Linked DNA regions of Daphnia pulex. The protein of the gene in region 1 purifies or fractionates together with the protein of each later gene. This does not show direct contact. Links are inferred from orthologs where the notes say so. Each region holds a gene or a part of one and is shown in the gene's direction. Other genes may lie near its edges.

Region 1 (4,362 bases):
GATTGGAGAGATAGCGATATCGTTGTTCTGGCCCATCGTTATTTTGGCATGGAACTTCCGCCTCCCTCTCTCGTTTGCAAAGACATTTTCTCATAGAAGTATTGAAAATAATATATTTACTTCCCACAGAGAAGCAGTAACGGGCGTGCAGCACAAAGATTTTAGGAGTCTATAGCTCTAATTTAAGCATAGATAAAGAAGACTTATGGTGTCTTTATCTGTGATTTAAGTACCTGAAAATCTGAAATCTTTGTGCTGCACGCCCGTTACTGCTTCTCTGTGGGAAGTAAATATATTATTTTCAATTGTACTTCTTTCTATACTTCGCGTGCGAAGCAAGGGATCTGCATTCCGTTTCTTGCACCAAAAGCCCGGAGGGAACCTTGCTACGCAAGTCGCACGGTGCAATGTTATTCGCAATTTTTTAATATTTTTGTACCTATATTTAAGTATTTCCCACTTATTGCCTGTACCGTTAGATGTGTTACTCAATTGGTCATCTTTTAATTTTTACTTCAAGCCCAAATACAATCTAGTCTATTTTATATTAAAATTATTCTTTAGTTGTTTACCCTTCTTACATGCTATCCCCGACAAGATTATGGCGGTCATTTTGATGATAAGCCTTAGAAGTGTACTGACCATAAATTCTTAATTCCCTAGCAAGAATCTAAAACTATTTAATTTAATTTATTAAAAACAAACGAGTTAAAAAAATTCAAAAGAGGTCAGACCCAGACCAAGTTGGAAACTCGAAAGCGAACGAGGGGTCTGATTATAAACACCTGTAAATAAATTTTGTTATAAAAGTAATTGTAGCCTATTTTAAAAATGAACGTTTTCAACGGTATTGTGCATGGAATATTCTAAATACCATACTATATTATTTTAAATATTGCAAAATTTGCGCACGTCATTGCTGTTTGCATATAATATTCGATAACATTTGATTTAATGAATGCACCAGCGACTTGCCATGCTAATCTTTGGTGTTGGAATCAAAGTCGAGATATGAAACGTAACATGTGCATACCACCGAAAGTTTGTTTATTACACATTTATGGACTGGGAAAGTGGACGTCTCTCGAGTGCAACATGAGGCAATGTATCCACAAATAAAGGGGAAAAACCCACCAGTTTTCGAAAACATAGCGTATGGAATTAGAATGTACATTTAAGAAGCGGAGAGTTATGGCGCTGTCCGCTGCGGCAGATTTTTTTTTGTGTTGTCAAATTCACATTTTTATTTATCCAAAGAAAAACTACGGCTTCATATGAAAGTTTAAAAAAATATTAAATATAAATTAGCTGAGAAATTAATTTTTTACTTTAAAGGTTTTTAACTTTTTACAATTTATAATTGTTTGTGTTTCAATTTTACGCCGACAGAGGTCTTAGGTTTTACAACTCCGACTATGGAATATAATCGAAAGTTTTGTTTATACACATGGGTTTTCCCCTTCTGTCATATCAATGAAGCTTCAGGCTAAAGATTGCGCGAGCAGTGCTAAATTTACTTATAAAACTTTGTAACTTTGTGAAAGGCTCCAGTTTGAACGGTCTTTGTTGAATATAACACGCAAATCGAAATGATTTTTAGCTAATTCGTTTGCGTTGAATTAATACGAGAATTCTTTCGTGTATTCAAGGTTAGTTCCGTTGTGTATCTTATGAACTGTGTTGACTGTTGATATACATTATATCATTTATATCTCTTTAACATATAATCAAATGTTATTTAATAAGTATGATTATTAAAATTAAAATTATGAAGAATGCATCAACCAATTGGTAGTAGTCCTTACTCACCTGAATCATCACATTCCTCAAGTTCTCCGATAAGCCACAGCTTCTCCAGTGGAAACTCTCCTATGATGTGTGCCTCACCAAACAGTGCCTACATGGGTAATCAGCAGTTTTTTAGAATGAATTTATGTTAAAATTGTGTAAAATATGGATTCATTTTATTACAGGAAATTCTCCCAGTTCAATTCCTATCAGACCAGGCAGGCTATCCCCATGTTTATCTATACTTAATCAACCACAAGGGAAGTTTCGTTTTCGTTATGCCTCTGAAATGACTGGAACACATGGATGTCTTATGGCAGAAAGCAAGGAACGGAACAAAAAAGAATATATTCGTGTTCAAGTATGTTTCACTTGCTAATGTAAATATTTACCAACTCATCCATAATTTCAAATCTGGAATCTTAAGTATTTAATTATAATTACTAGGTTGTAGTAAATTATATATGGGTTGAATTATCATTCAAAACTGTTGATCTTTAATCTCCACTTTATAACTCAGAAGTCAGAATACCTTAATTTAAAAAGAGAGGTAGGGGTTAACGCCAAGCGATTCCTGCTATTGCGTTTAATGTTATGCCGTTGTAAAACAGTGTACGATAATTCCACCTATAGAACTGTATTTCAACTTTTTCAGTTGACACTTATTTCTGTCACACATATTAGTTGTGTTAGAATTAGTCAGTTTTGTATTGGTATATTTTCATTTTGCCAATTATTCACAATTATTTAGAATTAATATTAATGCCAGTATTACTAAATGACTGTCTTTAGTTGGAAGGCTGTCAAGATCGAGAAGCTATTATTCGTTGTACATTAGTTACAAACAGTTCAAAACCTGTTCCACATGTCCATCGTCTTGGAGGGGAAGGAAACTCCAATGGGAACAATGGGAACGAAGGAGAATACCAAGAAATGATAGTCTCCGCTGGTAAAAACGAATGGACTGCAACGTATGTATAGGCTACTCAATAAAATTGTTAATAATAGTAATAATAAATTTTTTTAAATATTTTGTTTTAAAGTTTCTCCGGTTTAACAATTATACACACAGCGAAAAAACAAGTCCGTGAGGTGGTTGAAAGGCGTTTGATAAATGAACTGGGGAATGCACCCATGAATCGTAACCAAGGGCAACAGGTATGGAGTTTTCAATGATTATATTCTATTTTAAGTAGTCTTATTTGTTGTTGCATTAGTAAAGTTATTTAACATTCATCCCCGGTCATTATAGTTGAAGGACGAAGCAGACAAGATAGCCAATACAATGGATCTTCATTCGGTTAAACTAAAGTTTGAGGCCTTTGTGGAACAAAACGGTTTTCGTGAACAGATCTGCCCACCTCAATATTCCCAAGCTATTCACAATTTAAGTAAGTTTTAAAAGATATCTATAGTAGTGGAAAATGTTGCTAATTAAAACTACCGCGTTAAAGAAGCGTGAAAGGAAAACGGAAAATCTAATTCGTCGTCCTAAATTTCGTATTTTTTTATGCACGTACTGTAGTTTTTAATACTAGCTAAGTATATTAATGGAAAAACAACAATAACCGAGGAGTTTGAGCGTTATTCATTTTTATTCCATTTTCTATTAATTAACGGTGACCTCTCTTTTTTTTATTGTTTCGATTATTTCTCTCCACTTTCAGAAGCGTAAAAAATGACGCCTTCGAAATCCAAGTAGCAAAGTCATTTTTAAATAGTTAAACGTAGGAATCCACTCAAATCAATTTACATGTGAAACCTCATTTCGGATTGAGAATTTTTGTAAAAAAATCACATTGATTTGATTCAAGTAAAAAAAAATTAATTTAAATCGATTCGAATCAATTTATGTTAAGATCTTTATCCACAAAACATTTGTATGGTTAGTACAGACAAAATAAATTACTTTTTAATCATTTAAAGAATAAAAGCACAAAAATCGAAATTTAAAAGGTTTCCATAAAATTGTTATCCTGTCTGTGCTTCTTTAAACGATTATAAAGTATTTTGAATGACACACATTTTGATACTTTTACATATGATTTTATTTAAAAAAATTACGGAAATCAGCATTAATGTACACATAAAAAAATATCCGCAATAACTTCAATGAATATTCACCTTCAAATTTTCTATTAATTCAATTGACCCGCGAATTTGGATTTTGTCAATTTAAGTTAGACTTCATCTTAAGTTTCGAAAAACTCGAATTCGAATTTCGATTTATACGAGATTTGATTGGAAGTCCTAAACATGAAGTGGATGTTCAGTCTTTCTAAACGAAGTGGAATTTTACTAACGCAGCAATACTGTTCTAACCTAATCTTACCGTGTTTTTCAAAATCTAGAAAGCACTCATGCTGGAGACTTACGCATCGTCCGAATAGATAAGGTCTATAGTTGTTGTACGGGACAGGAAGAGATTTTCATCTTCGTGGAGAAAGTCAATAAAAGTAAAATAATTAGATTAATTTCATGCAACATTTTCCATCTAACATCCAATTCAAAATTTTATTACAGAGGACATCAAAATTCGTTTCTTCGAGACAGATGAAAACGAGCAAGAAATCT
Region 2 (4,317 bases), on another chromosome or scaffold:
CTTCACTGATATTACTGAAGGCTCATCAGATTTTAAGTTTTCTTGTTCTGTGAATAATAATATGGCACAATATTAAATTTTGTTTTGTACTCTTAAAATGTTATCTTACCTTGGTTTTCATTCAATGAAGTAGCCACTTCATTAGAATATGTTTCTGATGACTCACTAGACTGTTCTTCAAAGTGCTGTATCACTTTTTTAACCGAGCCTTTCGAAGCCCCAGCAGACTCTTTATTCTCTTCAGCTGCTAGTTCCAGCACAGTATTAATCCTTGTCGAACTATTATCCAAATAAGATCGAAAATCCACGTCTTTTTTGTCTTCTTGGTACTAGAGTAGTATGTATAAATCGCAAGAGTTAGAATCAGGTCTGCATAGCTCTTTGAAGAGAATTTGACATTAAAATACCTTAGTGAAGAAGGAACTCCAAAAATTATCTCTTTCTTGTAAAATTCCTTCCCAGCATTTTTTCAATCTGTCCATCGTGTTGGATTGTCATTTCATAGTTTCGAAATTATTGATCCATTATTTCAACAAGTAGGCCACTCTCTTAACACCAACAAGAACATAGCATCCGACGCTTTCGAGTTTTGAATTCACCTTTGCAACTTAATTTCGTCTGCTATAACTTTTGCAACAGTGTTTATCTGACAATTAGGTGATGATTGAAAATTTGAAACATATTATTCCAGAATATATGGATGAAGGAAAAATGTGGTGTATTATTCACAATTGTATCATCAAAATTAAAAATAAGAATCAAAAGACCCCAAGTAATTCCCTGAGGATTGCTTGTTTCAGGCAATCAAGAAAAATGAATTGCAAAAATTTTCAGCAGTTAATTCATTATCTTGATCCAATCTTTAAAACTGGATTTTTTTTGTATGACATGTAATCATCATATTTGAAGAATGAAATTTCAGTTTCATGTCTTACATCACTCTCCTTGAGTGTCCTTTCCGCTTTAAGGATGAGACCTTCATCATTCTCGTGGTTAATGACAGGATCATTTGTTTTAGCTCCATGTGCATGGTGCTCAATCTGTAGAAAACCATAGAAAAAACAACAAATACATAAAAATAGCAGTAAGATGTTATTCAAATAACCTTCAAAGTGTCATATTCGTATTTTCGAAAAGGTGGTGGCAGTCCCGGAGCAACACCCAACTCTTGAATTATTCTAGTTTTCAACTCTTCAGTTGTAAGGGAAAGTGGTACATTCTTTAAAACCACATTGCGAATGTTTCGATATTCAAACGACCGGATGACTCGAATAATGATCGTGGCTGTCTCCATTGATAAATTGTGCGGGGCAGTTTGTTTTGAACTGATGTGATGTTGCCACTGTCGAAATAGTTTAACAAATTTTGAATTATTACAGGGTACGCTTAAAATGTATAGAATAAATAGCTCATAATAGTTTTGAAAATTACACTCCCGACGAGGTCACACAATATTAGTAAAAGCTGATAGAAAAGAAGCAATTTAGTATTTTGGCTAATGATTCTATCTGGCAATGTTTATTTGTGCTCCACTCCTCCCCCAGTGATGACAGATCAACCGGCCACGTAGTAGAACTATTCAACAATCCTCACAACAAAATGGTTTAACATTAATACTACTTGTTTAAATCATAACAATTATTGAGCTAATTTCATGTTATAATTTTTTATAGCCGCTGAAACTAGATATCAAGAGAAGGCTTACCGCCCGTTCGGATCGCGTGAAAAGTGTCGACTTGCATCCAACAGAGCCATGGATGTTGGCCTCCTTGTATAATGGAAATGTGCATATTTGGAACCATGAATCACAACAAATCATCAAATCTTTTGAGGTAAAATGAGTACTTCATTGAATTCTTCCTTAATGACTTGACCATTACTTGCCCTTTTGTAGGTTTGTGACCTGCCTGTTCGTGCTGTCAAGTTTGTCCCAAGGAAAAACTGGGTTGTTAGTGGTTCTGATGATATGCAGGTATAGTTTTCTTGATGTCTTATCCATTTCAGATTAGATATAGTTTAATCCTCTTTAAATTGTTCCAGGTCAGAGTGTTCAACTACAACACACTTGATCGTGTGACAGCATTTGAAGCTCATTCAGACTATGTTCGTTGCATTGCTGTGCACCCCACTCAACCCTTTCTATTAACTAGCAGTGGTATGTAAATAATCTGTTTTTCTAACAGATTCAGTGTTCATACAGTCTTTCTTCATTTTAGATGATATGTCAATTAAGTTGTGGAATTGGGAAAAGAACTGGGCATGCCAACAAGTCTTTGAGGGTCACACCCATTATGTTATGCAGATTGTCATCAATCCAAAAGATAACAATACATTTGCTACTGCATCTCTTGATAGAACAGTCAAGGTATGTTTTTACGAAAATATTTTGCCAGAAATTTAACTTAAAATCAATTTATTACGGTCCCTCATTCAGGTCTGGCAGTTGGGCTCGAACACACCGAATTTCACTCTTGAAGGCCACGAGAAAGGAGTAAATTGCGTCGACTATTACCACGCCGGCGACAAACCTTACTTAATTTCAGGTGCAGATGATCGGCTTGTTAAAATTTGGGATTACCAGAATAAAACCTGCGTCCAAACTTTGGAAGGGCATGCACAGAATATTTCTTCTGTTGCCTTCCACCCCGAACTTCCAATTCTGCTTACTGGATCTGAAGATGGAACAGTCAGGTAAATTTATTATTCTCTTTATTTATTTTTTAGTCAAGTATACTATTTTCTCTAAATCGTAGAGTATGGCATTCAAATACCTACCGGTTGGAGACTACTCTCAATTATGGGCTGGAGCGTGTCTGGACCATTTGTTGTTTGCCTGGGTCTAATAACATCGCTTTGGGCTACGATGAAGGATCTATCATGATTAAATTGGGCCGAGAGGAACCTGCAATGTCCATGGATCAAAGCGGTAAAATTATCTGGGCCAAACATTCAGAGATCCAGCAGGCCAATCTCAAAGCGCTGCCGGACTCGGAGATCAAGGATGGAGAACGTCTTCCTCTTGCCATCAAGGATATGGGTGCATGCGAGATTTACCCTCAAACTGTCGCTCACAATCCAAACGGAAGGTATGTTTGCTAACTGCTCATGGCATAGAAACCAGTAAATAATAAAATTCCGTTTCATAATAGATTCGTCGTTGTTTGTGGTGACGGCGAGTACATCATCTATACAGCTATGGCTCTGCGAAACAAAGCTTTCGGTTCAGCTTTGGAGTTTGTGTGGGCAGTGGACTCATCCGAGTATGCTGTTCGTGAAAGTGCCACGTCGGTCAAAGTTTTTAAGAACTTCAAGGAAAAGAAACAATTCAAACCAGAGCTGGGAGCCGAAGGTATATTGTGCATAGTAATTGAAAACAGAATGAAATATTGATTCTAATTAAAATTTTACATTCACAGGAATCTTTGGTGGAGCAATGCTTGGGGTCCGGTCTACCAACAGCTTAGCTTTTTACGAATGGGACAATCTGACACTGATTCGTCGGATTGAGATCCAGCCACGTGGTGTGTATTGGTCGGAAAATGGTGAATTAGTTTGCATTTCTACCGAAGACAGCTATTTTGTTTTGCGTTATGATGCTGATGCCGTGGCCAAAAGCCTTGAAACCAAAGAAGGCTTGACCGACGATGCCGGAATTGAGGTGATTTTATTTAAAGACAAAGTGTTAGTACATTTTTAAAAAATATTTTCTGAATGTTTAGACGGCGTTCGAAATGTTATCTGAAGTGCAAGAAAGTGTTAAGACGGGACTTTGGGTGGGCGATTGCTTTATCTACACCAACAGTGCCAACCGATTAAATTATTACGTCGGTGGGGAAATTGTCACAGTGGCCCATCTCGACAGGTATGGCTTGAAAGTTCACCATTCTTGCAATAATCAAACCGATACTATTAAACCCATGTGTAACTTTTGTTTCCAGAGTGATGTACTTGTTGGGCTACATTCCCAAGGACAACAGTCTTTACTTGGGCGACAAGGAGCTAAATGTAGTTTCCTACGGCCTGCAACTCTCGGTGCTTGAATATCAAACCGCAGTTATGCGACGAGACTTCGAAACAGCTGACCGAGTGCTCCCGTCGGTTCCCAAAGAGCAACGCACTCGAGTGGCTCATTTTCTTGAGAAGCAGGGATTCAAAGAACAGGCATTGGCAGTCTCCGCTGATCCTGAGCATCGCTTCGAACTGTCACTTCAGCTTGGTCAATTGCAACTGGCCTACCAACTAGCCTGCGAGGCTCAGAGTGAGCACAAGTGGAAACAACTTGCTGATCTGGCCACAACCAAATGTCAGTTTGAGTTG
Region 3 (3,415 bases), on another chromosome or scaffold:
TGATTACAGAAAGAATTCGACGAAAAGAAGAAAGCTGAGGGTAAGAAAGCCAGAGATGATAAGGGCAAAGTTATGGACATGCTGTTTGCAGCTTTTGAAAAGCATCAGTACTACAACATCAAGGACTTGGTAAAACTCACCAACCAACCTGTGGTAAGAAAAAGTTGTTTTCATACAAGCATTTGCACTTTTAAAACCCTCTGCTTTTATAGACCTACCTCAAGGAAATTTTGAAGGATGTTTGTGTATACAATTTGAAGAATCCTCACAAAAACATGTGGGAACTGAAACCGGAATACCGCCACTACAAAGATGAAGACAAGGACTAATAAGTAAACAGTCCATTAACTTTCTAATAAAGCTGTGATTTTCAGAAAACTACTAAACAGCTCTTGGATGCACATAACTTCAGATAACTCAAATGGGTTTCAACTGCCCTTGAAATTGTTCGATAAAATGTTCTCTTAGGCTACAATTTTCCCTTCGTCTAAAAATTCCCGTGCTAACAAGTGTGTGGTCCAATACATCGATGCGAACTTGAAAATTTTACCAATATAATTTATCCCAACCATATCAGGAAGAAATGATTTCATGAGCGAGTTCAGTGCGAAAAGTAGGCTTATGTGCTAACGAGGAACCCCTTTTAAACAGAATCGTAAGATTGTAAAAACAAGAATCAAGTAAAAGGTTACATGTTAATATTTACAGCTTTTCATGGTACCCTACTTACAGTTAACATTATATTATCTCAGTCAAAAGCCATAATCTATTAGAATAGCAACAGCCTGTCTCTTGATGAGATTCATCATCCAACCATGATTCAACCAACAATTTAACGCTGAATATAGTTATCTACAAATTAATTTGTTTTAATTTTCACTAGTTACAATTTGCCAGAATGTAATTTTAAAAATTGTTTATTTGTCAATATAGATACTATAAAATACACCAAACAGAATTATTTCACCAGGAAATCTGCAACTTCAGGTAGCGATGTGAGGGTTCCTGTACAACAACAGAATAAGAATTAGCATTTCAACATCATAGAAAACCATTTAAAGCACACTTCAACAAATTATCCACAGTGTGCCTCAGTGCCTTCAACATCAATTACTTTATGTTACTACTATCAAATGTTTTAATTCGGTTCAATCCATGTGTTCCAAATAAGGAGACAACGGTAGATCAGAATAAATTTTAATTTAGCATGTCCGCTTGGCCACTATAAGCTAAGTAGAGCTAGTGTGGTTCAAAGGAATGCAAAATTCAGTCTTAGTTGCATGAATTAAATAAGATATTTACCGAAACGAATACAAAACTGGCTAGCAGCAATCAAACCAGATGGGGGAGCTTCACATGCTTCAAATGGCGTTTTACAGTCCTACTTATAACATTTGATTTCGTCCAACGCTGTTGAATTTCGGACTTCCTGTCGGAGTTGACAGATGGAAAATCTACAATAAAACTTTTGAAATCTTTTAAACAAATATGAACCAATTAAACTTGTTTATAATTTATTATTTCTATAATGATAGTTGAAAAAATTTTAAAAAGCAAACTGAAATAAATTATGTGGGAAGATGAATTCCGAAAGAGGGGGTTGAGAAGGAGGCAATGCTGGGCTTGTCAACTTCGTCTACAGAAAAAGTACTGTGTATTCCTTCTTCCTCTCGTAGACCGGTCTTAAAATACGTGAAATGGCTACGGCTCAGATCTCGAAAAAACGAAAGGCAAGTAATTCTTTCAACACGTGAATCTTTTTCATCTTGTTCTCACATATTCACCGTTTGAATATTGAGGTGTTATTGATGAAATAGAACAGTTTCTAACCAGGATGTGAAAGATTTTGGAGGATAAAATTCGTCTTGGCTTGACATGTTTCTATTGTCAGTGTGCTTGAGTTTACCTAATTTTCTTATAATTTTGTATTACAGTTTGTGGCGGGAGGTGTCTTCAAGGCTGAATTGAACGCCTTCTTGACCCGTGAATTGGCCGAAGATGGTTATTCTGGAGTTGAGGTAATTCTTGTGAAATTATTTTGTTACTGTGTAGATATCTAAAACCCATTTTCCTATTAGGTGCGCCTTGCCCCCACTCGCACAGAAATCATCATTCTGGCTACACGTACCCAGAATGTTTTGGGTGAGAAAGGCCGTCGCATTCGCGAGTTGACATCTGTTGTCCAAAAGAGATTTGGCTTCCAAGAGGGAACTGTTGAGCTCTATGCTGAGAAGGTTGCTACTCGTGGCTTGTGTGCTATTGCCCAAGCTGAGTCCCTGCGCTACAAACTCATTGGTGGTTTGGCTGTTCGCAGGTAAGCTAATTCAATAGGCTGACGTTTAAATAGTGCATTTCTGATGTAATGTGTTGTTACACAGAGCTTGTTATGGTGTTCTCCGTTTCATCATGGAGTCTGGAGCTAAGGGTTGTGAAGTTGTTGTATCTGGCAAACTTCGAGGTCAGCGAGCCAAGAGCATGAAGTTCGTCGATGGTCTGATGATCCACAGTGGAGAACCCACCAACGTCTACGTCGACACTGCCGTCAGACACGTCTTGCTTCGCCAGGGTAATTTATTGTGCATTATATTGACTTGGGAGGAATCTTTCTAATCATCTTTGTTATTGTAGGAGTACTTGGTATTAAGGTTAAGATCATGTTGCCGTGGGATCCCAACAACAAGAACGGACCCAAGAGACCTTTGCCAGACAATGTTTCCATCCTGGAACCTAAAGATGAGACACACATCGCAGAGGAACTTAAAGCAGCCAAGATGTCCGACATCGCAGCAGCACCTCCCACCCAAGCTGCTGCCTAAGGAGTGTTTCGTCTATTTACTGGGCTGGTGTCGATTAACTACCGTAGTTTCCAATATGAAACGAGAGTTAAATACATGCTTTGCCTGGTCAAGGTTGTGTTTTATTTATTATCCTACACCCTACTTTTCTTTTTACGCTCAAATTAAACTTACCAATTAATTTAGGTAATGAAGCAAGTCCAAGAATTGATGTGTAAAAAATCTTAGTAAATTAGAGTAAGGTCTGCGTGAAAAACAAGGTTTTCCAACTACCGCTGTCGGCGTGAGACTTATTTCAGTAAGTGGTTCTGCAATTGAACGTGTCGGTTGCTGAAAATAGTTCTCGTAGAATAATTGTGCACTACATGCCGACAGTGAACTTCAAAATACGGTTCAATGCAGAGCTGCTGCAGTTTGTTAATTTATAATTGTTTTATCGTTATCCATCTCATGAAGAAAAGTTAAAGTGAAATGTTACCGATATTGTCGATGTTGTGGTTACTCGTGTTACTGGAAAGGTAAGAACTTTTCTTTAATTTTCTTAATCTAGTGTATTTAAGAGCTTACGTGAGCATTGACATTTAAGCATTTTCTTGGTGATTCAGGATGAAAGCTAGACA

What was found.
Region 2: the proteins of nuclear factor NF-kappa-B p100 subunit-like (region 1) and coatomer subunit beta'-like purify together in Homo sapiens (affinity purification with mass spectrometry; 5 studies listed by BioGRID and IntAct, with this or other methods). This does not show direct contact. The link is inferred for Daphnia pulex from reciprocal best matches to the Homo sapiens genes NFKB1 and COPB2.
Region 3: the proteins of nuclear factor NF-kappa-B p100 subunit-like (region 1) and 40S ribosomal protein S3-A-like purify together in Homo sapiens (affinity purification with western blotting; 3 studies listed by BioGRID and IntAct, with this or other methods). This does not show direct contact. The link is inferred for Daphnia pulex from reciprocal best matches to the Homo sapiens genes NFKB1 and RPS3.

Annotation. Positions count from the first base shown.
Region 1 is NC_060019.1:3,340,563-3,344,924, reverse strand, and holds the start of nuclear factor NF-kappa-B p100 subunit-like, read left to right. Parts: upstream 1-1,437; 5' UTR 1,438-1,649; intron 1,650-1,746; exon of another isoform or gene 1,747-1,774; 5' UTR 1,775-1,775; coding exon 1,776-1,905; intron 1,906-1,973; coding exon 1,974-2,149; intron 2,150-2,580; coding exon 2,581-2,759; intron 2,760-2,831; coding exon 2,832-2,946; intron 2,947-3,040; coding exon 3,041-3,179; intron 3,180-4,139; coding exon 4,140-4,244; intron 4,245-4,311; coding exon 4,312-4,362.
Region 2 is NC_060017.1:7,292,204-7,296,520, forward strand, and holds the start of coatomer subunit beta'-like, read left to right. Parts: upstream 1-1,434; 5' UTR 1,435-1,599; coding exon 1,600-1,602; intron 1,603-1,673; coding exon 1,674-1,832; intron 1,833-1,894; coding exon 1,895-1,972; intron 1,973-2,040; coding exon 2,041-2,155; intron 2,156-2,216; coding exon 2,217-2,365; intron 2,366-2,434; coding exon 2,435-2,691; intron 2,692-2,753; coding exon 2,754-3,086; intron 3,087-3,149; coding exon 3,150-3,349; intron 3,350-3,416; coding exon 3,417-3,658; intron 3,659-3,719; coding exon 3,720-3,862; intron 3,863-3,938; coding exon 3,939-4,317. Other genes in the region: uncharacterized protein LOC124197376, read right to left, coding at 1-47, 110-329, 408-482. UniProt on the Homo sapiens protein: The coatomer is a cytosolic protein complex that binds to dilysine motifs and reversibly associates with Golgi non-clathrin-coated vesicles, which further mediate biosynthetic protein transport from the ER, via the Golgi up to the trans Golgi network.
Region 3 is NC_060025.1:408,441-411,855, forward strand, and holds 40S ribosomal protein S3-A-like, read left to right. Parts: upstream 1-1,584; 5' UTR 1,585-1,697; coding exon 1,698-1,730; intron 1,731-1,934; coding exon 1,935-2,018; intron 2,019-2,078; coding exon 2,079-2,314; intron 2,315-2,378; coding exon 2,379-2,566; intron 2,567-2,628; coding exon 2,629-2,816; 3' UTR 2,817-2,908; downstream 2,909-3,415. Other genes in the region: general transcription factor IIF subunit 2-like, read left to right, coding at 10-153, 213-329. UniProt on the Homo sapiens protein: Component of the small ribosomal subunit. The ribosome is a large ribonucleoprotein complex responsible for the synthesis of proteins in the cell. Has endonuclease activity and plays a role in repair of damaged DNA.